Linked DNA regions of Drosophila melanogaster. The protein of the gene in region 1 purifies or fractionates together with the protein of each later gene. This does not show direct contact. Each region holds a gene or a part of one and is shown on either strand. Other genes may lie near its edges.

The links.
Region 2: the proteins of Act79B (region 1) and Cf2 purify together in Drosophila melanogaster (affinity purification with mass spectrometry, with the first as the bait; one large-scale study listed by BioGRID). This does not show direct contact.
Region 3: the proteins of Act79B (region 1) and Scp1 purify together in Drosophila melanogaster (affinity purification with mass spectrometry, with the first as the bait; one large-scale study listed by BioGRID). This does not show direct contact.
Region 4: the proteins of Act79B (region 1) and TpnC41C purify together in Drosophila melanogaster (affinity purification with mass spectrometry, with the first as the bait; one large-scale study listed by BioGRID). This does not show direct contact.

Annotation. Positions count from the first base shown.
Region 1 is NT_037436.4:21,983,585-21,987,723, reverse strand, and holds Act79B (actin 79B), read right to left. Parts: upstream 2,515-4,139; 5' UTR 2,476-2,514; exon of another isoform or gene 2,400-2,475; 5' UTR 2,374-2,399; coding exon 1,449-2,373; intron 1,087-1,448; coding exon 881-1,086; 3' UTR 534-880; downstream 1-533. UniProt on the Drosophila melanogaster protein: Actins are highly conserved proteins that are involved in various types of cell motility and are ubiquitously expressed in all eukaryotic cells.
Region 2 is NT_033779.5:4,877,082-4,885,001, forward strand, and holds Cf2 (chorion factor 2), read right to left. Parts: upstream 6,027-7,920; 5' UTR 5,808-6,026; exon of another isoform or gene 5,784-5,807; intron 5,721-5,783; exon of another isoform or gene 5,412-5,720; 5' UTR 5,312-5,411; coding exon 4,134-5,311; intron 3,392-4,133; coding exon 3,213-3,391; intron 2,116-3,212; coding exon 1,940-2,115; coding exon of another isoform or gene 1,775-1,939; 3' UTR 29-1,774; downstream 1-28. Other genes in the region: CG3008 (uncharacterized protein), read left to right, coding at 6,566-7,258, 7,310-7,920. UniProt on the Drosophila melanogaster protein: Transcriptional regulator; binds to the promoter region of Cp15. Also binds to its own promoter, thus having a probable autoregulatory role.
Region 3 is NT_033778.4:2,965,040-2,969,961, forward strand, and holds the start of Scp1 (sarcoplasmic calcium-binding protein 1), read right to left. Parts: upstream 3,014-4,922; 5' UTR 2,945-3,013; intron 2,306-2,944; exon of another isoform or gene 2,278-2,305; intron 2,153-2,277; 5' UTR 2,108-2,152; coding exon 2,056-2,107; intron 1-2,055.
Region 4 is NT_033778.4:5,064,725-5,072,148, reverse strand, and holds TpnC41C (troponin C at 41C), read left to right. Parts: upstream 1-1,938; 5' UTR 1,939-2,161; coding exon 2,162-2,167; intron 2,168-5,144; coding exon 5,145-5,172; intron 5,173-5,225; coding exon 5,226-5,621; intron 5,622-5,685; coding exon 5,686-5,720; 3' UTR 5,721-6,912; downstream 6,913-7,424.

The DNA.
Region 1 (4,139 bases):
GTTTCCGTGTTACTGACGACTTAGCAGCAGACATTAGACCAATAAACCCAGTTAGACTCTTTTCTTTGGCGACTCCAGCAAGCTTGGCCCTAACTAATTAAGCAACAGTTTTCGGCACCTGGTTTATGCATAGTTTGGCGAAACCTCAAAAGTTTGCAGCCAAAAGTTGAGCACAAACATTTATGTTGGCGAAAAGTTCTGTGAGCAGTTGGGCTCCAGTTAAGACTGTCGCTGCTCCTTGTATTTCCGACTTCAGTCCTCCAGAAGTCATTCCTCGCAACCTCTCTTCGTGTGGAAAATCCATCTGGGTTTGTGAAAATGTGACAGAAGAGCATGCGGGGGGATAGATGCACAGATACAGATACAGATACAGATACAGATACAGATACCCGTACTGGGGGATTGCCATGGCAGCTGTTAGAGAATAAAAGTTGGCCGGCAAGTGCCTGATTGACATTCGTCGAGGCCTAATTAAAAAAGTTTCCCCACCACGCATTCCTGCTGCTCCTGTGACGTTCGACTTGGGTTCGATTCACATGGGTTATTGGTTTTTATTGTACGTACAACCGATTGTTTTGGCCACTTTACGCGCTGGCAAGCGAGTCAAGCAGTACAAATTCCGAGTCAAATCAAATAAAAATAGCAATAATAATAAAAAAAGAAGGCGTTGCCGCTCGTTTCCGGTCTTTTCTCGTCTCTTTCTCTTGTTTTCTCTATCTATGTTAAAACTTCTTCATCAACTAAATGTAATTTAAAGATACTTTTCACTGAACTGCGTCCTCACCCTTGGCGCCGGCGCCTGGTCGGATGTCTTACGCTGGAGACAAACACCAGGGCCGCGCTCGAGGAGATGTTGATCTGGTTTGGGTGGCTTGGATGCTTAGAAGCACTTGCGGTGGACGATGCCGGGACCGGACTCGTCATACTCCTGCTTGGAGATCCACATCTGCTGGAAGGTGGACAACGAAGCCAGGATGGAGCCACCGATCCAGACGGAGTACTTGCGCTCTGGCGGGGCGATGATCTTGATCTTGATGGTGGACGGGGCAAGTGCGGTGATTTCCTTTTGCATACGGTCAGCGATACCTGAAGAGGACAGAAATAGAATCCATTAGTGGTGCTACAGAACCGAGGAGCTTTGGTGTACTCATTACATGACATTTTAATAATAGCATGCATGAATATGAGATATAGGGAAAGGATATAACCCATTAGGTGAATTCTTTTTTTTTTTTTTGTAATACTACTTTCCATAAGATTTTTTTTAACTGTTATTACAAAGCTCAGCTAAATATTTAGGCTTTATTATTTAAAGATTTCCTCTCTGCCAAATGAATGTATAAAGTAACACTTGTTTTTTTTTTTAAGTATCCCGCATAGTTTTGATCCCATTCCCTCGGAAGAATTTCCTCTGAACTTTATGGTCCTAATTAATTAAGACTACGCACCTGGATACATGGTAGTGCCGCCAGACAGCACATTGTTGGCATACAGATCCTTGCGGATGTCCACGTCGCACTTCATGATGGACTGGTAGACGGTCTCGTGGATGCCGCAGGACTCCATGCCCAGGAACGATGGCTGGAAGAGGGCCTCCGGGGTGCGGAAGCGCTCGTTGCCGATGGTGATTACCTGGCCATCGGGCAGCTCGTAAGACTTCTCCAGGGAGGTGGAGGCGGCGGCAGTGGCCATCTCCTGCTCGAAGTCCAGGGCGACGTAGCACAGCTTCTCCTTGATGTCGCGCACAATCTCGCGCTCGGCGGTGGTGGTGAAGCTGTAGCCGCGCTCGGTGAGGATCTTCATCAGGTAGTCGGTTAGATCGCGACCGGCCAGATCTAGACGAAGGATGGCGTGGGGCAGGGCATAGCCCTCATAGATGGGCACGGTGTGGGAGACACCGTCACCGGAGTCCAGGACGATACCGGTGGTACGGCCGGAGGCGTACAGGGAGAGCACGGCCTGGATGGCCACGTACATGGCCGGGGAGTTGAACGTCTCGAACATGATCTGGGTCATCTTCTCGCGGTTGGCCTTGGGGTTCAAGGGAGCCTCGGTCAGCAGAACGGGGTGCTCCTCGGGGGCCACACGCAGCTCGTTGTAGAAGGTGTGGTGCCAGACCTTCTCCATGTCATCCCAGTTGGTGATAATGCCGTGTTCGATGGGGTACTTCAGCGACAGGATACCGCGCTTGCTCTGCGCCTCGTCGCCCACGTAGCAGTCCTTCTGACCCATACCCACCATCACGCCCTGGTGACGGGGACGGCCTACGATCGAGGGGAATACGGCGCGGGGCGCGTCGTCTCCGGCGAATCCGGCCTTGCACATGCCGGAGCCGTTGTCTACGACCAGGGCTGATGCTTCTTCGTCACACATGTTTGGTTAGTTTGGTGCGGGCGGCACTACAAGGATACAGACAGATCGGTTATCCCTTATGCGGGTTACGGATTTCGGATGGGCGGACAAGACTACACTCACGACGTGTAAATCCAACAGCGACAGCGATCAGAGTGATTCGTTATGCGCTCCGGCAGCTGCATTTAAATAAGTTCTGTCCCGCCCCGCCGGCCCCACGCCCATGTCCCTGTCATCTCGAACAATTGTTCATCTAGTAACATGTTGATGAATTCCGCGATATGCAACGCTGGCTGGGGATCAGGCGTTTCCGGGGAGGGTGGTCGGATGCACATCATTTCGATTTCACAAAAGTGTTCTGATTTCGGGTATTACGCCTACGGCAACAAGTTGGATTACGAATTAAAGAACCCTAGTTAAGCCACAACTTAGAGCAACTAAATTGGTACTAGATTTCAATATAAAATAAGTTGTTTTGTAAGTTGTAAGTCTTGTTATATTGTTAGAATTTTAATCCGCACACACTTATAAGCTTGTGAAATTTGGGAAAATAAATAATTTATTGGAACGCTGGGCTTAGGCTAGATAGTTTTGATATTTATATATTGTTTTAGAATGGCAATAGTCATAAATATACATACATAATATAAATATTTATATTTATTTTATATATTGTTTTAGAATGGCAATAGTCCCAAATATACACAATAGATATATTTTTTTGACAAATAGCAAAATTGGGTATTCCAATTACTTTTAATTTAAGCATCAAATGACAGAATGTGTTAAGCCAAAGCTAACAAATGGATTTATCTAACGAGCTTCGATTTAAGCTCTGACAATAGGCTCTCCGTTTTTTGATAGAATAATTTATTTCCATCAGGCCCTAAGTCGTATTAGTCAGAGCATTATCGGGATTTTGCGTTCGTTCAGAGTATTCAATTTGCTCCATTCCCAAATACCATTTATCACTTAGTTTCATTTCGTTTTCGCTAAATTATGTCTGGCTGCCAACTTTGCTATGACTTCGACAAAGAACAGAGGAGAGAACATATCGAAATATGCGCCAGGACTTGTATAGGCATCTGTAGATATATTTTTAAGTTTTTATATAAATAAACCCCCGCAAAACGGCGGCGCAGCAACAAGAACAACCCGTGAACAATGCAATGTAGTGGCCAGCCTTTCCCCCAAGTTCTTTATCTTGGTCTTGTAGGCAGCTTTTCCCTGCTCGAGTAAGAGAAATTGGTGCCAATGCTCTTCTGGGCCCCCACTCAGTCCATAGATGGTGTGGCCCGAATGTTGTCACACTCAAAAATGCAGCCAAAGCACTTGCGTTTATACATCTTATAAATGTTGACGCTGTCGTGTGGATTTCATTGAAATCAAATTGAAAAAATAGAATCAAATAATTTTGTACGGCTATGCACGGCACATAGCCCTGTGAGCCCAAAGGAAAGTGGTTGGGGGGTTTGGCGCAGCGGTGCATGCGGCCAACAGCAATTTTGCGCCTGTCCACCGATATCGCTCGATCTCATCGTGGCATTAGCCATAAGATTAATGCCCGATATTCTAATTAAGTGTGCCCCATCCGAGGAGGTGCATGCACTCTGCTTTTACTGCAGCGAGTGCATTCCCCAAAGGAGCAAACTTCTGAGCTCCAACTTTGGCCCGTTAACTTTGCCAAGTGCTCGCCAACTGCGGAGCATTACGTGACCACCTTGCGGATCAGGTACGGACACCAACCACGTATCATTGGTCGTACGCGCGTCGAGTAGTTGAAAGAG
Region 2 (7,920 bases), on another chromosome or scaffold:
TCACTTGCTCATGTTCGTGTTTCTGTTTCTGTGTGTCTGTTGTCTGGCTTCGTTTTTGGATTCGTGGCTAAGATCTAATACTAATAGTTAGTCGCTATTTAGTACGTATCGCATTCAACATGACTCATTCATTGGTAATCACTTACAGCAGAGTTAATTGGTTTTTTTTTTCAGTGTTGCGGTTAGTTAGGCGTTTCTTTTTTTTTTGCTGCATTTAGCGTTTTGCTGTTTGCTTTTGATCGTCAACTCTTCACGGTTTATTTAAAACTTAAAGAATTACAATAGTTTAGTACTTAGAATTTATTTTGGTTTTACATGCGCTGCGCATCGTTTGTTGCTGTGCTATGTGCCATTAGGTAGACAATTTGTTTGAGTGTATTATGCATTAATATTAGATACAGGTTTATATATTTGCATACTTTATAATTATATAACACTATGTTATAAAAATGTACATGGTTTTGGTTTTGCTACAGTTTTAGTTTAAGTTTTAGTCGATTTTAGTACGTACAACTCTTGCAAGTAATCATTTGCTGGTTTAAAAAAACGCGTTTAAGTAGTCGTAAAAATGATCAATCCATATTTATATATATTACAAAAACAACTTGAAGCTTTCTTTTTATCAAAAGTATCAATTGTGTAGATCGTTATGTTAATTTTTTTTTAATCTTCTAGTTTGGCGCATAAAGCTGTGTTGCGTTTAGCGTAGATTTCTCATTTCGATTTGCCTTAAATACTTTTTGTTTTGCGTTAAAAAATGCAAATTTTGTAAAATTAATTTCTTAGTTATGTTTTTCGTTATTCCTTTTTTTTTTAAAGTTTTATACAATCTCACTGTTTAGTTTAGTTTAGTTTAACAAACAAAAGCAGCGCTTTCAACTTAAATAATTTAAAAAATAAACAATGGTTAACATTCATCAATAAAAACAAGCTAAAATGATTAGATCATTTAGTTAATTAAAAGTAAATAAATTTTTAAAGCCAAAACAAACGAGATCCTGCTCGTGTGCAAATAATTGAGAAATGACTAAATTTCGTATTGGTCCTTTGTCATTTCCGCTACGAGTCGAAATTTTGAAAAACGTTCTTTCACGTAAAAATAAATAATTTTGTGTTGTTTTGAGTTCGAATAAAATAGATGTATAATTTATAAAAATAATTTAAGTTTTGCGCGTAGACATGAGTTTACCTTTTTCTTTTTGTTTTGCTGCTTTCAGTAACATTTACAAACAATTTAAGGAAGTAATAAAAATAATATTGCCACAAAGTATATGAGTAAAAATATTTTCTCTCTCTTTATAAATAATATATGTGTGTTGTGTGTAGTTTTGGGTGTGTGTGTGTTTGTGTGTGTGTCTGTATAGCGCCGCGCGTAAGTGAGTGTGCGCTATGGAGTCACCATATAAAATCTCATAGAATAACAAAATATTATATACGATATACATAGGTGTATAAAAAATAAAAATTGCAAAACATCTACATAACCAAATAGTAATAAGAATCAAAAATCGATTGCAATAACTTAAACATTCTACGAACTGTATGCTAATTTAGTACAAATCTGTTTCTGCTTCTGCTTCTGTGTTAACCGAACTGAAGGTATGTATCTAATTTAGTAATTTAATCTAGCAGCACTGCGAAGAGATTTGCCAGTCGTTGGTTGCAGTTGTTGCATCCGCTGCAGTTGCATAACTCCCGTCTACGTGAGTGTGTCTCGTCTTTGAAATGGTCTTTCATTTATGGTTTGCTCATCCCGTTTCCGCTGCAGTTCGTCCTAAGCCGATGCCGCAGCCGCCGCAGATGGCTTCTTGGGATCTGTATCCGTGTCGGCGGACAACGGCGGCGGCGCACCAGGACCAGAAGGATTTGGAGGATGAGTAGGAGGAGGAGGAGCGGCTGGGGCAGGAACGGGTAACTGGCGGCCACCGCCCGGCCTTCCCTAGAGCGGATGCAGCTTGGTCGTGTGCACAGTGAGGGCGCTGCGCTGCGTGAAGCGCTTGTCGCAATACGGACAGGTGTACGGCTTCTCGCCGGTGTGCGTCCGTATGTGCTTGGTCAGATAGTCCTTCACGCTGAAGGACTTCTCGCAGTAACCGCAGTGGAACGGCTTCTCTCCTGCAAAACAGCCACGATTGGCGAAACGGAGAAAGTTGGGATACTCGGTTAGCACATGTCGCTAGCACTTAGCCAGTTTGCTTGGTGCGTGCAGTACCAAAGGTTTGATTGATTGATTGATTGACTGAGAGTGGTGGATGTGTGGGTAGAGTAGATATGTATGCATATCAAATAGGTTTTGCACGTAATCAAACTATATATATATATTGATTATATATTAAATGTGTGTATATATTTGGTTGGTGTTTGTTAAAATGCATTCGAGAAATATTATTACGTAATGAGATGAGGCGGCGGGCGATACGGATTTGGATTATCATATTGCTTGGCTACCCTCACAGAAAGCTTTTGCTGAAAAATAGTTGATGATCTTTTCATATTTTCTCGTTCTGTGAGGGTATGTAAACTGTGACTCATACGATTCGTTATTTGTCGCTAATCGAAGGCGGCAAAAATTCAAGGCCCCGAATGTCACTTGCTGGAAATCGAATAGAAACTCGAACTAGACGCTTGATTATAATCTAAAATTAAGCTTTTGCAATGCAATCAAGATGAAAGATCTTAATATAGAAGCACACATAATCGAAACGTTATATTATTCATTTAATTGCACACTGATTTCACATTAATCATCTCAATTTCTCACTAATTACTATAATTCGATTATTTAGACTGTAATTAACGGAGAATATAATCTAGCAAGTGACATCCTGGCCAGATCTGAATCTTGGCCATTAGGTTGGGGATTTTTGCCGCCTTTTTTGGGCGTGGTTTTCTGCGCAGCCGCTGCGGCGGCTCGAGTCTGATGATCGAGCTTCGGCAGGACGACTGGCAGAGGTGAGAGAGATTGATATTGGTACTGATTGATCGAGATTGATTGATAGAGATTGAGCGAGTTTGTGTATGGCAAATGGAAATGGACTTGCATACAGAGGTTTCTCTTTTTTGAGTATTGCTGTTTTTTTTTTTTTTGCTCATCACGCTGAGGTGACAATTTACTGATCGATTGATTGGTTGATTGAAAAGTCGATTGATTGGTTGAGTTGATTGAGAGCTGATTGACTGACTGAATTGATTTGAAAAATATTGCTTCTCACCCGTGTGAGTCGTTAAATGTTTGTTCAGGTAATCCTTAACAGTGAACGCCCTGCCACAATAGCCACATCTAAATGGTTTCTCACCTGTATGTATGCGAGTGTGCTGTTTTAGTGTATTCGATTGAGTGAAGGACTTGCCGCAGTAGGAGCACGTGTAGGGGCGTTCTTTGGGCGTGGCGCTGTCGGAGTTGCGGTTCGGAGAGTGGAGATTCGAGAGTTAACAATTATTTATATTCATATTCACAAAATACCGCGCAGAAACGGAGAGGAAAAAGATACAGAGAGAGAGAGAGAGAGAGAGTGGGCGCGGGAGAAAAGAAAGAAATTTAAATTATATTATTAGTAACACTCGATTTAAAAATAAGTTGCAAAACAAACGACACACGAACGCATGGGCCTCGTCCCAGAGCTTCGAGGGCGCGCCCATGCGCCCAGCTGGCCCGAAGGAAATCAAAAATAATATATATATATATATATATACAAGGTGGTAAGATTATTGGGGTTAGTTCGGCGATCACGCCGCCCCAGTCGCAAAGGAAGACCCACAAAAAACTACGTGGGTATCCCCCCCTTTGAGCTAGAGCGGGCAATGCCTTGGAATGAATAACAGGTAATCCGGCAATGAGCTAGGAAGCATTCTTATCTTAAAGCATTGCAACTGAAAGCTTTCCTGGATGCAAAGACACTTAATCTTGTTGAGATTACACTGCGATCTATACTATATCTATCAATATTTTATAAATTCTTCTTTGCACGACAATATCCCATCACTTCTAACTAACTAACAAACTAACTACTATCATTAAAATATCTATAAGATCATCAAATGCCAGTTACTCGACTAGAGCTTTTAAAGTCGCTGTCCAGTAGCTATCATTGCCGGAATACCCAGTCCGTAAGATGCATATAAAATGGATTTACTCTGCTTCGCCTGTGTGTATCTTGCGGTGCATGGCCAGCGTGCCGGGCGTCTTGAAGGTCTTTGGACAATCCGGACATTTGTGCCGGATCTTGTGCGCCAGATCGGCAGGTACCGTTTGTGTGCCGACTAGCACACCCGAACTGGCCGGAGCGGGTACACCGGGATTGGCTTGTATGGCATAGACAGGCACAGAGTTGACAACATCACCACTGTCGCTCAGGCTGAGTGGCTCCTCCTTGATAATGACCTGCGGATGCGACACAATGGCGCCACCGTTGGCGTTCTTGTTTAGCTTGACGGTGAGTGGTGGCACCTTCAGCGCCACCTGGTCGCCGGCGAGATCCTGATCCTGCTGGTGATGGTGCACCTGCTGCTGTTGCGCCTGCTCCTGCATTTCACGCTGCTGCTGCTCCAGCAGTTCCTGCTGCTGCTGCTGCTGCTGTTGTTGTTGTTGGTGCTGTTGCTGATGGTGGTGCTCCGCCTGCAGTTGCTGCTGATGGTGCTGCTCCTCGGGCGTCAGTCTCATATCACGGGGCGCCATTGCCGGCAGCTGATCGTCGGGCGTCACCGCCGCCTCCTGCTGTTCCATAAAGCCCTGCTGTCCGGCAGCCAGCATGGCGGTGGTGCAAATGGAGCCGCACTGCGTGCATTTGTACTCGTTGGGCTGCTGGGTGGCCGAGTGGATGCCATAGATGCTGCACATAAGGCAGCGGGACAGGAAGGCGGGCGTCTGATGGGCCAGCCGATGGTGTTCGTCTAAATCGACGGCGTTGCCAAACTTTTCATCACAATTGAAGCAGGGGTGGCTGAGCTTGGGGTGCTGCTGTGCCTGCGGATGACCGCCGTCCAGCGTGGCAATGGCTCCCTGGGCGTTCAGCGTGATCCCGTGGCACAGCTGCATGTGATCCGCGACGTGCTGCGGTCGCTCAAACTGCTGGTGACACATGGGACAATAGTGCGGCGACACGTGCACATTGGGGTCCATGCTGAGATTGGGCAGAAAGGCTGTCTTCAGGGTGTCCATGTTGGCTATCACGGTGGCCACTTGGTGCGTGGGCGTGGCTGGGGCGGCGGTGGAGGTGGTGGCTGAGGAGGGGGGCGGCGGCGGCGGCGCTGGCGACTGATCCTCGGGGCGTGGCAGACGCTGTTCCTGTGGATTCGTGGTGGACTTTATCATTTCACTTCCGCTGGCGCTTGGAGAGTAATCGCTTCTTTTGGTTTGACTTGGTTAGTGGGCAGGAGCAGGAGCAATTGGCGGTTAAAGAAGGCGATATGCGCTGCAGGAGTAATAAAAATCATAATTACAGGCGGCCACAAGCGAATGTATGTGCAAGCGTGTGGGTGTGTGCTGGTGTGTATGTGTGTGTGTGTTCTTTGAGTCTGGCAGTCGCAAATTAGCAGGAACGAATTCGGAAATCACAAATTCACGAAATCTTCAGTCCCGATCTTCTGCATTTGACCCCCAATGTCCCCCCACAGCGGCTGGCGAAGAAGAGGAAGAAGGAGGAGGAGATGAAGAAGAAGAGGAGCGGGCAGCAGCAGCGGCAATGCGTTCGAATTGAAAATTTTTTTCAGTCTGTCATATTCTAAATTCGGAATTCTATTTTGATTGCTTTTTCGGTCTCTCGTTTTGTTTCCATCTTTCTTACCAGCGCACTGAATATTTACTGCACCTTGTTGTTGCTGGCGGCCGTTCGATTTTGTTGTATTTGGAGCGGGGGTCACGAAAATGCTGGGGCGGCCAATCAGTTTAATAACATTTTCTCCTTTGTACAACAAATAAACGTATATTAACAAAAAAAATTTTTCACTTTTATTATTATTTTTGGCGAAAAATGTACAACTACAACAAAAAGTATCGATTACTGGCATCGAAACTACGATGGCAACGTCGCTCTAGAACTGACGATGTGGCAACGCCCTTGCTAACGATATATTTTTCTGCCTTTTCCTAAAATATGACAAATAAAACGTTTTCTAAGTATGCAAATTAAAGTATAATATAACTTTAACTTAACGTTATAAAAATTGTAAGCAAAGCTTTCGATATTAGGAGTTCTTCTATTTCCAAATTTATCGGGTCTATCGTTCTGCGATAGCTCGATACTTTCATAAGCTGATAATTTCACAACAATTGGAAAAAGGATTGTTTGGAGAAATACAATAGAAATATTATTGCAACAAGGGTTGCAATTGGCTTCCCCTTATATTGGTCATCTATAGTGCCAAAACTGTCACTTGTCCTCCACCGCGGACATATCAGAGTCCACCTGCAACCCGCCGTTGGTCAGGATTTGGACAGAGGCTTGTTTGTAAACTGCCACAATTACCACCGATATAGAACTCGATCTTCTCAAGCCAAGTTCCAATAGGTTTGTGGAATCACAGCACCAAATTGTGATCTATATTGACTCTCTTTCGATTGTGCAGAATGTCGTCGCCATGGGTTAAGACCAGCGAGCCTGTGCAGCAGGTGAATCTGGCGGATATAATGTCGGAGCAATATGCCCACAAGTTGCACGACAAGGAGCTGCAGCGCCACACGGAGAAGCTGAAAAGACCGGACGAACAGATAGCACCCGTTTGGGGGTCGCAAGCCTCATCCCCGCCAGCGCCCAATGCGCAGAGTATCCAAAGTGATGCGGAGGATTGGGAGGATTACTCTGCGCTCCTCAATGACGAAGGAAACGTAGCGGAGGACATTCAGCTGCCGGAAGACAGCGATGCAGTTATTGCCCAGCTGTTGCAGTCCCAGTTCGATCACGAGTACAATGAGGAATTGCGTCGTATCGAGCGGCAGCAAAACAAGCAATCCAAGGTCACTGTTACCCTCAATAAGTTCCTACGTGATGGCGATGCAGAGTTCTTGCACGACACCGCGGAAGATGACTACGAAGAGGATGAATTGGAGCAACAGAAGCACGACTGGGATCGGTTCGAGGACAATGAACGGCAGCTTGACTCCATACCTCGCTGCGGCTTTAAAGTTAACAAGGAGGGCGAGATGATAACAAAGCACGATCCGCAGCTGTGCGCCGTGCGTAATGCCCAGCGCGTGATGTCCTTTCCGCCGGAGTTTCCCACCGGTGATGCTGCCGGTTTCGACATGAAGCTCTCCAATAAGGTTAGAAGCGGTCAGTTTTAAGCGATAATAAGACTTAAACGTACCTTTCAGGTGTTTAACCAACTACGAGCCCATTCTCGACGAGGCCGCTCCGACAAGCACGAGAAAGTGGCCACCGCGGAGATGGGATTGGATGCGGGTACACGTTTGCTGCTGTACAAGCTGATCAATAACCAAATACTGGAGCAGATCAACGGCATTATATCCACGGGCAAGGAGGCGGTCATCTTGCACGCCAATTCCGATGCGAACTATACGGGCAGCAACGAGCATGGTCACCAGAGTGGTGTGCTCGTTCCACCGCAGCTTTTGCCCCGGGAGTGTGCCATTAAAATCTTTAAAACCACGCTCAACGAGTTCAAGCAGCGCGATAGATACATCAAGGATGACTATCGGTTCAAGGATCGCTTTAGCAAACAAAACCACCGAGTGATTATCAATATGTGGGCCGAGAAGGAGATGCATAATCTGATGAGGATGCAAGCCATTGGCCTAAACGTTCCAGACGTTGTTGTGCTGAAGAAGCACGTGCTGGTAATGCGGTTCATCGGTGACAATCATAACGCTGCGCCCAAGTTAAAGGATGCCCGTCTGAGCGACGCGGAGCTGAGTTGCGCCTACGAAGAGATTGTGGCCGCGATGCACAAGTTGTACAATGAGGC
Region 3 (4,922 bases), on another chromosome or scaffold:
AGCTTCTGGCCAAGGTTGAGTGGATTAGGATTAATATTTAGAAGATCAGTCTGAATCGGGACGAGATCGTGAACAGTTTTAAATTTAAGACAAGAGATAAAAAGAATGTCTTGTAATAGTATAAGTGAAAAGGTCTATCATGAATAAAATATTAAATTATAATAAAATAAAAATTTTTTGTTCAAATAATTAAAAAGGAACACTTTTAATTTGCACAAAGATTAATATTGTAAACCATTAACAATGAATATAGATTTCAGTGATTTCATAGCTTAGCGATTGGAGATCCAAGCGAACACTCGAAAACCGTGTTGTCTGAACACTCTGAAATATTTTCCCTACGACCAAGTGAAGTTGAGGTTGCCATTTGGAGTCCACAAGAGTCCCATAGGCATTTAGAGAGATTTAAAGCTCGGCTTAACTTAGCCTAATATAATTTCGGTTAATGATCAACATAACCTAGCTGTAACCTGCCGTCAGAGTGGGCGTGGCAAAGAGTTTTGTGGCCAATCCATAGAAATTTTAAAGCCTAATAAAAATATGAAAAAATGAGTGTGCGTCTTTATCTCTAGAACCTGTATGGTTAATTTCAACCTTCTAGCTTTTATAGTTCCTGAGATCTCGACGTTCATACGGACAGATGGACATGTCCGCTACTGATCCTGATTAAGAATATATATACTTTATATAGTCGGAAACGCTACCTTCTGGCTGTTACATACTTTTCAACGAGTCTAGTATACCCTAGTATACCCAATTTCTTAGCAATATGATAAAATAAAATAATAATTACGAATTTACACCTTGAATATATCACCTAAAGTACGATATTGCAACAAAACGACTTTAATTAAATATATAAACTAGGTTATATAGCGAAACTTTCAAAAAATAGAGAAGCTCGGCGTATAGTCAGCTTTAATCAAACGGATAATAAAATAAAATAATAAAATTTTAAATTAAAACATAACTTTTCCAAAAAGAAGTCATTACATTGAGGAAAAGATATTTCACAAAAATAATAAGTAGTAGAAAATAAATATTTATAAAATGAATAAAAATATGAAAACTTTTTATTGCAAAAGTCATATCTTGAGACACGAACACGTTTATTGCAACAATGATTGCCTTATTAATTTTTCACAAGGGGCAAGTGAACGCCCTAATAACCTTTGTTCTAATATAGTCATCTTTGAAATTTATTTTGTGATATTATGTACATATATATTCAAATAATAATATAGTTAAGGCAAAGAAACTAGACACTAGGGTCTTTGGTTAAGGCCATGCAAGCCAAGAATTTTTTACATGTTGCCAATTAAACAAAGATAATACAGATGTAAAGTCTATGAACTTGTAAATTGTCAAATTTACAATGCATTACCATACAGTTGTCGGCTGTCACTGTATGCGTAGAAAAGAACTGCTGAGCCACCTCTGGAGCCATCCCGATAAAATTGTGTGCAAAAAATTGTATGGCGTTACGCATCTTGTTCTTCAAATGTCTTTGGCTTAACCTCATATAAGCTGCAATGACCACTTGACCGGTTCCATGTGACCTCATTTTAACGGATTATAAAACTACATCATAAATATGGCGCAACATTTAAATTGCCAGACTTGAGATTGTTACATAAATCTGATCCGCAGCAATTGTAAATGTTATTTTTATTGTATTTGTGCGCTTGCAAATTTGATTAATCCTATCCAAATACCCTTTCAGTAATTACAAAAACATATATGTCTACTTAGCACCCATAGTGTTAAAAAACGAAACTTTTATTTATATTCTATTTTGGGTGTTTAATTTTCAAGCAGTTCTTAATGCAGCTATATGATATAGTCGTCCCATATTAAATAAAATTAAAATAAAATGTATATATTGTTAAAATATCGGATTTCGGATAGTTCCGAAGATATGTATAAAAATGGCTTTATGTATTCAATGCAATGGAATATAAACTTAAATTTTTTGTATAAAATATACGTAAATTTTTAAGGTATTTTAATTCACTATAGGATACGTTTAATAAGCCTAAGTCCTTTTCTACTCACCATACATATACCGAACGACAAAATCGACACGGTTATCCCAGGAATAAGCCATTATGACGGAATTTGTTTGGAGCTTATCCTCATAAAATGTAAATAGCTAAAAGTAGAAATACCATTACTATCTGAACTAATAAAAGTCTATAAATAAATTAAAATTTTTTGGTATCTATAAATAGTACTTTTAGGTAAAAAGTTCTTGAATAGTAAATATGAGCTCCTTACCTTCGGAATAGCTTACTTCAGACTAACTAAATTTGCTAAACCTTTTGCCAAAAGTCGTACACTTTGGCAACATTATTTACATGGTATGTATCTAAACATTATACATACAAATGTGTATTGTATAGAAAGTGCATTTGTATATATTTGTTCTCTTTCAAAAGGTAGTTTATTTTTAATTAGGAGTTTCCATTGTACTAAATGTAATTATTGTATTAAGTAAACTATAGCACTGTTTTGAAATCACAATCAATAACAATTCAGTTTTCTACTACCAAATATTAAGCCTACCTGTTACAATGTTATTCGTGAAAGTTTCCATATAGATTATGCTCTAATTAACCATTTAAAATGGAAAAAAAGCGAACAATTCACCCCTATTTAATTTTGTATTTGAACACTAATAGTAAAATATATCAAAAATCATTTTAACATTTAAAGAATTGATAATTAATTGACATGATTATTAATAGAAAAATATTTACTATTTTTGCAAGCTTACACACATGTATATTCACAAGTATATATTTATAGTACATGCATAACCTATTATAAAGCACACATTTTATAAAACTCACAATTCTTATTTTCGGTTTTATGTACATATACATATACATATATAGGAGATACAATATTCAACATTCAAATGTACAGTTTTATGTCTTATTACCATTGTGATCGGCGGTCTATAGTTGTCTATTACTGTTAAGATATAATATTATATAAAAACAATATATATACATATAAGAAAATATATATATGTTTTTATGCCCCATACGTGTAGAGTAAAATTAGATTCGTTGATTCTACGTGTAACGGGTATAATAATATAAAACAAGAGAGAAGGCTATAGTCGAGTTCCCTGATTATCAGATACCAGTAACTAAGCTAGGGTCAATGCTAACGCGAAAGTTCATAATTTTTCTGGAAAATCGATTGATATCGATTGATTGATTGATATTAGAAAAAAAATAAAATGAAAAAAAAATAAAAAATTGTTAAAAAAGTGTGGGCGTGACCGGTTTGGTGGCTTTAGGGCGTTTGAGTGGGCGTGGCAAAAAGTTTTTTGGCAAATCAATAGAAATATACACGACCAATAAAATTATGAAAAATATCTAACAATTTTTCAAAAGTGCGGGGGTGACCGGCTTGTCGGCTTTGGGGCGTTTGAGTAGGCGTGGCAAAATTTTTTTTTGCAAATCGATACATTGATCCTGATCATGAATATATATACATTTTATTGTCGGAAGCGCTTTCTTCTGCCTGTTTCAACCAATCTAGTATACCCTTTTACTCTATGAGTAACGAGCATTAAAAGAGTTGGACTATAAACTTAAGTGAGAACATCGTCTTTATAAGCTGCGAGTCTTTAGCTGTCGGCTGTGCTGTCCTTATTGGCAGAGGATCGACGTCGGCTTCTTGGAATCACAAGCGCTGGTGGGAGCGGAAACAATTGCCAAACACATTTTGGGAAATCTGCTTGGTGGCGCTGAGCTTGCATATTTGGGGTTTGTTACTCTATTACATTCTGTTGTAGACCGATGTTGAATTCATTGTTATTAACTTTAACTTTCTAATTTATGTAGGGAATGTTATTGAACTGAGGTAGCTGATGTTAACTTTTGTTTCCATTCCCGGTATAGGTCTAAGCTGCAAGTTTATGCTTCTCTTCCTTTGACTATAGGTGTGAAGGCCCAGGATGATAATCAGAGTATTGTCGAAGAGCGTCAGTAGGGTTATGCTGTTGGCCTTTTATGTATATGCAACGGTTCAGTGTTTCAAGAGATATAACCTCAGTCTTTCTTTTTCTTCATCTGTAAATTGTACAAGAGGCGAACTAGGAGACAGGGCTGTAGGTTCCAAGTTGGCGAATCCCCCTGTTGTCGATAATCATCGAGTCGTTTGATAGCTAAACAAAGTAGGTGAAGCTCTGTGAGGATCCAGGATATGATTCCATCGTAATCGTTTAATAGGATGATTCCGTCGTCGACCTCTTCCATTCTGGATAAGTTGTCGGAGTTGCTAAAACTACACAGATCTTTCTTTCCCAGAACTAAATTTGGAGAGCAATCAACTAATTTAATTAATTAATTTCTTATATTTACAATTTTTTTCTCATCGCATATTTATATATGTATATATAGGTAAGATTTTCGAAAGCAAAGATTTCTTGAAAGTCTAAGTTGTTGTAGTTCTGTTGTTTTTAACTATTGGTTTTACAATGATATCTTAGTATTTCTATAAAGTTTGCGACTTTTACGATGTACAAATGTGTTGTCTTATTATGTAGAATAGAGACCTCGGAAAACGCCATAGCTTCTTTCATCGATAGTAATAACATGTTGTTTCCCTTAAATATTCTTTCTATTTCAATTAATTCATCTTCATTTAGTACTAGTGTGTTACGACCTCTTGTCGCGCCCACTGGATGGCAGTTTCTACTTTTAGGAGTCTAATCTGGGTTTGTAAACTAAGAGCAATTTCTAAACGAACGGAACTGCCCTTTTGTATAGAAATTGTTAGAGCTTTAGATACTGTAGTCAGTTTGTTTATTCTTTCTTGTTTGTAAACAATGACTTGTTGGTTATTGTTGTCAATGAGCTCTGCTCTATTATGACCAGGTCATCGTGATCTGGAGTGGCCGCTAT
Region 4 (7,424 bases), on another chromosome or scaffold:
ACAAATAATCGTAGTTAACACGGATGGGAAAGCTCTGCGACCATGCCGGAAATACTCGCAGACGGCATAATTACAGCTATACTGGTGGCAAGCTAATGCACACGGGGCCGGCTACACGCAGGCGGCACCGTTGCAGGTAACACTGCTGAGAAACTCTACGAAAATGCCCGTAATACTCGGAGACGGCATAATAGTAGTTAACACTGATGGGAAAACTCTGCGGCAATGCCCGGAATACTCGCATGCGACATGATCACAGTTAATACACGGACTCGTTCATTTGTTACTCATATTCCTCCCTTAGCCATAGCTGTCCCTGTCACACTCGAAAATGAATATGATATTATATAATAAAAAAATTTGATTCTTCACAACGGGCTTGTTCCACAGTTTTTGAAATCGAAGGCCATAGGCCAGACTGTCTTATTTTAGTATTCAGAAAAAATATTGCCACCGACTTAGAGTTGGACTTATCAATCCAAGGGAATCAAACGCCTTTTCTATCGTAGAAAGAATTGATCGTCTTGTTCTGTTACGAAGATACGAATTCATATCATAAGTCCAGTTTGAACTTACAATCCGATCTAGATATCTTTCAAATATGGTGCCGTGATAACGTACTAAACTTAAATGGCTCCAAGTGTAAAGTTATGACCTTTTGCCGTATCAACCAATACACACAACTTGCACTTAAAGGGTCGCTCTTTAGACAGAATAAAACGGGTTGATGATCTTGGTGTTTTTCTGGACCTAAACTTAAATTTTAGACCATATTTCGAATATTAAATAAGGCCAGGGGTGTGCTTGGCTTTATAAAAAGGTGGCCAAAGGAATTTTATGATCCTTACACGACCAAAACCTTAGTCCGTCTGATTTTTGAGTAATGGCCACCTGTCTGGAGTCCTCAATACGTCGTTCACTCGGACCGCATTGAATCGGTCCAAAAAAACGTTTTTCTGTTAACTCGGGCAGCGCCCAAGTTATCAGTGTGTCCAAAGGGGGAAGCTGATGAGTTTGGATATAGTTATCGGTATTCCCAAAGGGGGCATACTGAGCTCTTTCGAGTTTAAAACCAGAGTGGTCTTTATTGTGTCGGAGAAGTCTCCTCTAGCTCTTGGTTACTCAAGTTTTTGTCTTATAGATAAGTGCTTTTGGTTTTAAGTGTACATAGGTTCTTAATGTAAATATAATAATTTTTTTAGATTTTGCACCACTTACGGGGAGCATTTTCGAAATGTATTCAAACATAAATTGGCCAGAAGATAAGCAAATAAAGCAATAGATCCGCTATTCAGCTAGTGAGAGCGGGACCGATTTTTGAAACTTTCTGATCAAAAATGTATATACTTTATAGGATCGGAAAATCAACCTTCTGCCTGTTACATATTTAATAACGAATCTTGTAGTCAAGGGTATAAAAAATATATTCCGTTGTTTTATGTTTCATAATATGATTTTTTCATGATTTTTTATATATAATAACTGCGAGGGTGTATAAGCTTAGGAAATGTTATATTTTTATTCTATTCATAATTTTTTTGACCAATTTCTATAAGTATGCCCAAAAAGATTGGCCACGTCCACAATAAATGTAACCGCTACCAGGTTGCAATTGTGAGTAATCTCGTGAAGAGTGTTTTCTAATTTTGTTTTTTGTGTCTCCATTTCCCTTACACTCCCACACGCTGAGTATCAGAAGGGCGAGAAACAAAATTATAGCGTTCGCTCTTGTTTTTGAATTGCAATTTTTGTTCACAAATACCATTTTATAATACGTTCCAAGATCTAATGCAATGTACGGTTTATAAAAATAAAGAATTTTGATGAATATTGTGTATCTAAAAATAAAACTCTGAGTATTTTTCTGTCTTGTGGATAAAATTATCTTTGAGTTACATGACATACGGAATATTTATGTTGTCTTTTTTATTTGGTTTTAATTGTTGTTTTTGTTTCAACAAAAATAGTTGCAGAGCTATCATCGTATTAAGTCTAAAATGTTCCTGAATGTTGAGATGCATCCACAGAAGACACATAGCCCATATGTGTTTTAATCGCGTCAATACCAAGTTTATTTCTCGTCTTCAATTGTTTATTTAGCTTTTAATTAACGGAGTGTTCAATTTTTTAATATTAGAGATTAATCCAAAGAGCTAAAAAAATGAGCGTAAGTTAATCGGCAAAAAAAATAATCCCAGTATAAGTTTCCAAGCTACTTCGAGTTAAAATTTCAAGATTAAAGGAGTCAAAATTATTTCAGATGATCTCAATACTGAACGTTTTTCAGGGTGCAATCAGTTCAAATAAAATAAGTAACGATATAACGTTTTATATAGAGAGTTAATGCTTAACGCCCACGTTCCAGCAATGTTTGCTCGATAACTTTTCAATTAAGTCAGAGAATAAACATATTGTACATTCAACTAATATTTCTTTAAACATCATTAAACAGCTCACACATGTATTTGATTTGCAAATACTACATTTTTACTTTAAGGAATCTTACGTTTTTGGTCCGTCTGTCAGTCAGTCCGTCTGTCCGCATGTACAGGTACATTTACATCTATATACACCCATTCTTGATCACTAGTCGAATCGACCAGGTCATGTCCATCTTCCTGCCTATCTAAGGTATAACAAGAGAGAATGCTATAGTCGAGTTCGCGAACGCGAATTGCATTATTTTTCTGGGATATCGACAGATATTGGGGAGTAAAATGAGAAAAAAATAAAGAAAAGTGTGGGCGTGACCGATTTGGCGGCTTTAGGGCGTTTGAGTGGCGTGGCAAAAAGTTTTTTGGCAAATCTATAGAAATTTACAAGACCTTCTAGCTTTTATAGTTCCTGAGATCTCGACGTTCATACGGACAGACGGACGTGGCCAGATCGACTCGGCTATTGTTCCTGATCAAGAATATATTTACGTTATATAGTCGAAAACTCTTTCTTCTGCCTGTTACATACTTTTCAACAAATCTAGTAAACCCTCTACGAGTAATGGGTATAAATATCGAAATCCGTGGTTAATTTGAAAGTAGCCTTAAAGATTCTTCTGAATCCGTCGTTTCTATTTTCTAGCTTTTATGGATCCCAAAATCGCGTGTATATGATCAGAATAGCTGACCAACTGACGACCAGATTGACTCGGGTAGTGGTCCTGATACTGATTATGCTTATACCTATATTCTTTTTAGGGACGAAAAAGCTTCTTTCTACAAAAATATCAAAGATGGGGTTTATTGAATTTGTTACTTTTCTAAAACAGAGATTCATATTTAGAAAGAAAAGGTAAAGAAAGTGCTCTAGTTAACAAGTTAAGTGGGTCAAGATTAGTGCAGATAAGTGGAGCTAACTTGAGAACATCTTACTAAGAAATAGAAGAAGAGAGAATGCTATAGTGGGGTTCTCCCAGTTTTCTGCGGTATTATGGCGTTAGAGTGGGCGCGGCAAAAAGATTTTTGGAAAATCGATACAAATTTAAAAGACATAAAAGTTTTTTTGCAAATCGATAGAAATTTACAAACAAAAAAATTTAAAAATATCAAAACATTTTTAAAAAGTGTGGGCAATTTTCTGCGATTTGTGGTCGTTAGAGTGATCGTGGCAGCATGAGTCAATGAACTTGCCTTCCGTATATGTCTCTAGAATCTGTAAGCTTAATTTCAGAAAGCTGAAATCGAGACGCTGAATACGGACAGACGGACATGGAAATATCAACTCGGCTTTTGATGCTGATCAAGAATATATATACTTTATATGGTCTGCCTGTCTGGAAATCTAGTTAACACTTTTATCCTACGAGTAACGGGTTGATAGAAAAATTGTTTTGCACGCCCACTCTGACGCCCACAAGCCGCCCATTTTTCTCATTATATTCTCTAATTTCTCCCTATGTCCAAAAATGTCTCGTTCACACTTCCAGCTGAGAAATAGCAATTTATCATGTTTTTGAAGCCTACGGATATCCGATCTTTTAGAGATCCCTCTGTAATTGCTTACATATATTTGTTTATGAAGAGGTATCACGGACTCCTCCCATATATATAAAGGGTAAAGTAGAGGCTTGCATAAGACTTTCGCACAGAGCCTAAGCACTCAGCGTGTTAAGACTGGCTTAACTCGCTGAAGATCGTAAAGTAGTGAGCTTTCGTTTGAAGTGGGGCAAAATTTCAATTTGGACTTCTAAGCCGCTTAAGAGTAAGGGTGTTCGTCGGGGAAGTTTAATTCCCACGATCCCTCTTTCATATTTTTCATCTTAGCTTCAAACTCCTTCACCACCGTACTTTTCGGTCGAAAATCATCAGAACACTTCAAAAAATAAAATGTCACTCACGCAAGAAAATTTAATATTTTCCTTTTTAATGTTATCGGCTTTGGAAGACAAATCTTAAAATTAAAGTAGACATGATGATTGGGGACTTCGGGTACTGTTTATTTTAATGATATATAAATCTTGGTAAGCCTATCACCTCTCCAAAATAATGAGAATTATTATTAAGTTAATTTTTTAATTAAAAAAAATGATTTGTTTTCCCACCGTTCGTCTGTCGTCAACTCTCACTACCGCATAAAAGCTGTCGATCATATAACGATAGGGCAGTGTGCCCGGCTTAGGACTTGTCTTAGCCGACTAGAGTTTTTGTTGGTGTTGGCTAAATGTTTGTACTGAATGAAATATTTCGCCCCCGGTTTATTAACTTTTCCAATAACTTTTCCACTTACCGGAATAGACTCGTTTATTGGCGATTTTCTTTCGTTGCTATTAGTGTGACCCATCATGCAATTCTTGGCTTTAACCTTGAATTTTACAATTTTATAAAATCAAGCAAGGTAGGACCTCCTTTGGAAGGGACAATTTTAGCAATTCAGCTATGTACACACCACAAGGCGGCTTTAAAAATGGCGAATATTGGAGGAGGAAAGCCGCTTTGCATTCCAATCGATTTCCAAAACTATCGTTGACCTTACGTGAAATAAAAACTAATCACTGGCATTAGATTGACATCAAACCACACATCAGGCAGTTAACAATTAAGAATTCAAACACAGTTAAAGTCATGACGCATAAATATATTAAATGAAATTGTATTTTAGTATTATGCCTATATTGTATATTTCTAAATAAACACCCTTATTTTTCTTAGGATGAATTGACTAAGGAGCAAACTGCATGTAAGCTTATAACCCATTTACTGATTTCTTAACTAAAAAGCATTTCCTTATAGTACTACGTAATGCATTTAATGCTTTTGACCCTGAAAAAAATGGATATATCAACACAGCTATGGTGGGTACGATACTTAGCATGTTGGGTCATCAACTTGATGATGCAACTCTTGCTGACATTATCGCTGAAGTCGATGAGGATGGTTCGGGCCAAATCGAATTTGAAGAATTTACCACCCTGGCAGCCCGCTTCCTTGTGGAAGAGGACGCTGAAGCTATGATGGCTGAATTGAAGGAAGCTTTCCGCCTTTACGACAAAGAAGGAAATGGATATATAACTACTGGTGTTCTTCGTGAAATCCTGCGCGAACTAGACGATAAATTGACAAATGACGACCTGGACATGATGATTGAGGAAATTGATTCCGATGGATCGGGTACTGTTGATTTTGATGGTATATAAATCATACAGCTGAATTACAAACGCTTTGCTATTTTATAACATATATTATTTTATAGAATTTATGGAAGTAATGACCGGTGGCGACGACTAAAACAATATCAAAAGAGTACATCGAAATAAGTATTTTAATTTAAACAATGCAATCAAAATTGAATGACATGAGAAAAAATTATATTATATTATTTTGTCTAAAGTAAATAAGTAAATTGATCGTATGAAAACGTAAAATATTTTATTCTTACGCATTTTTTTAAAACCCTTTTAAGTTACTTTAAGTAGTCCTGCCAAATGGAATAAATCTCTATCGGTTCCACGCAAATAGTATAGTTTAGTTTTGTATAGTTTAGTTTATAGTTTATAGTCACGTTGGCCGTGTTGTTAGAGGCCTTGGACTGCTTGCGCCACTTTAGTCGAACTGCATTTTCTTTGTTGCTATCAGTCTGACTCAACGAGCCATTTGTTTCCCCCCTTTGCTTCAGACTCTTGGCTGCTCGGAATTTAACGTTTCTGTAAGGGAGGTGGACGAGTACGGAGCGTTAAGAAATTTTTGGTACATCGCAGATTGAAGTCCAAGCGGATTAACGGATTCACTCGCCAGTCAATTTAGAAAAATTAGCTGGAAGACGGATAATTTTAAGGAATTATGCGTAAAAACGACAAGGATTGTTTTTAGTCAAAAAGCACGAAGTGATAAACAATGCCTTAAGAGAATTATAAAAAAGATATTGTCCGATTAATAAATCTGGAGAATTGAAAGGTAAAACATTAAAGCAACTAGAGCGATACAATGAAAATGATACAGGCCAATATTAAATTCCTCATTAAGCATTTATAAGAGAGGATAGTCTTATCACTAAGCTTCGGGTGGTGTTTGACGCAAAGACCAAAACAACAGATGGGAAAAGCTTTGGTATTCACATGACTAGGACATACATTTAGAGGATAGGCAGCACGTGCTTTCCCCTCCCACCACCTCTAGCTGACCAAATTGCAGCTGAAGTCATTGTTCTGCAAGTGGGTCATTATCTACTCTACCTCCACCGCCGGGAATGTCGGTGTCAGCTAGCGCAGCATCAGCACCGGAAGACAGGCTAACGACTCTGGAGCTCTGCAGCGTACCGATGATGAAAGGGCATACGGACCTTGTGTTTGGCTAAGCGTTGGGCCGCTGAGCTTACGAGCGGCTGGCGAAGCGCTGGCCACTCGTTCGATTTTCGATTTTTTTTTTTATCAAATTATAAAATTGTACTTAATTATAGAAATAAAAGAAACTAAGACCTTGAAGTATTCATTTTTCATATGGTGAAAACCGAAAGCATGCAACTCCCTGCAAGGATTCCAACTCCAAGTAGTATTTTCGACTGCTTAGATTGGCGCCCGAACAGTTCGCTCATCACGAGGATGGAGAATGAAAAAAAGGGGAAAATGCTTGCGACCGGTGCACCGCGGTGATGAGAAAAAACTATAAAATGTGAACAAAAAGTCCAAATAATAAAATACAATAGGCTGATACGCACCACGGTGACAAGATAGTTCACGGGTGTGATGTGCCAGATGTGACAACTAAATATTTAAAAAATCCAAATATGAAATAAATATAAAAATTAAATAAATATATATAAAAATAAAAAAAATATGGCAAAGCGTTAAGCTTGTTCAAGGGCATAAGATAAGATAAGATAAGATATATGAAATCAATTATGGTGCACGGTCGTGAGGGGAAACCCTATTGTGCGGAGACTTACCAGAAACGCTAAGAGGCGTTGAATGCGATCCATACCTTATTAGGCAATGC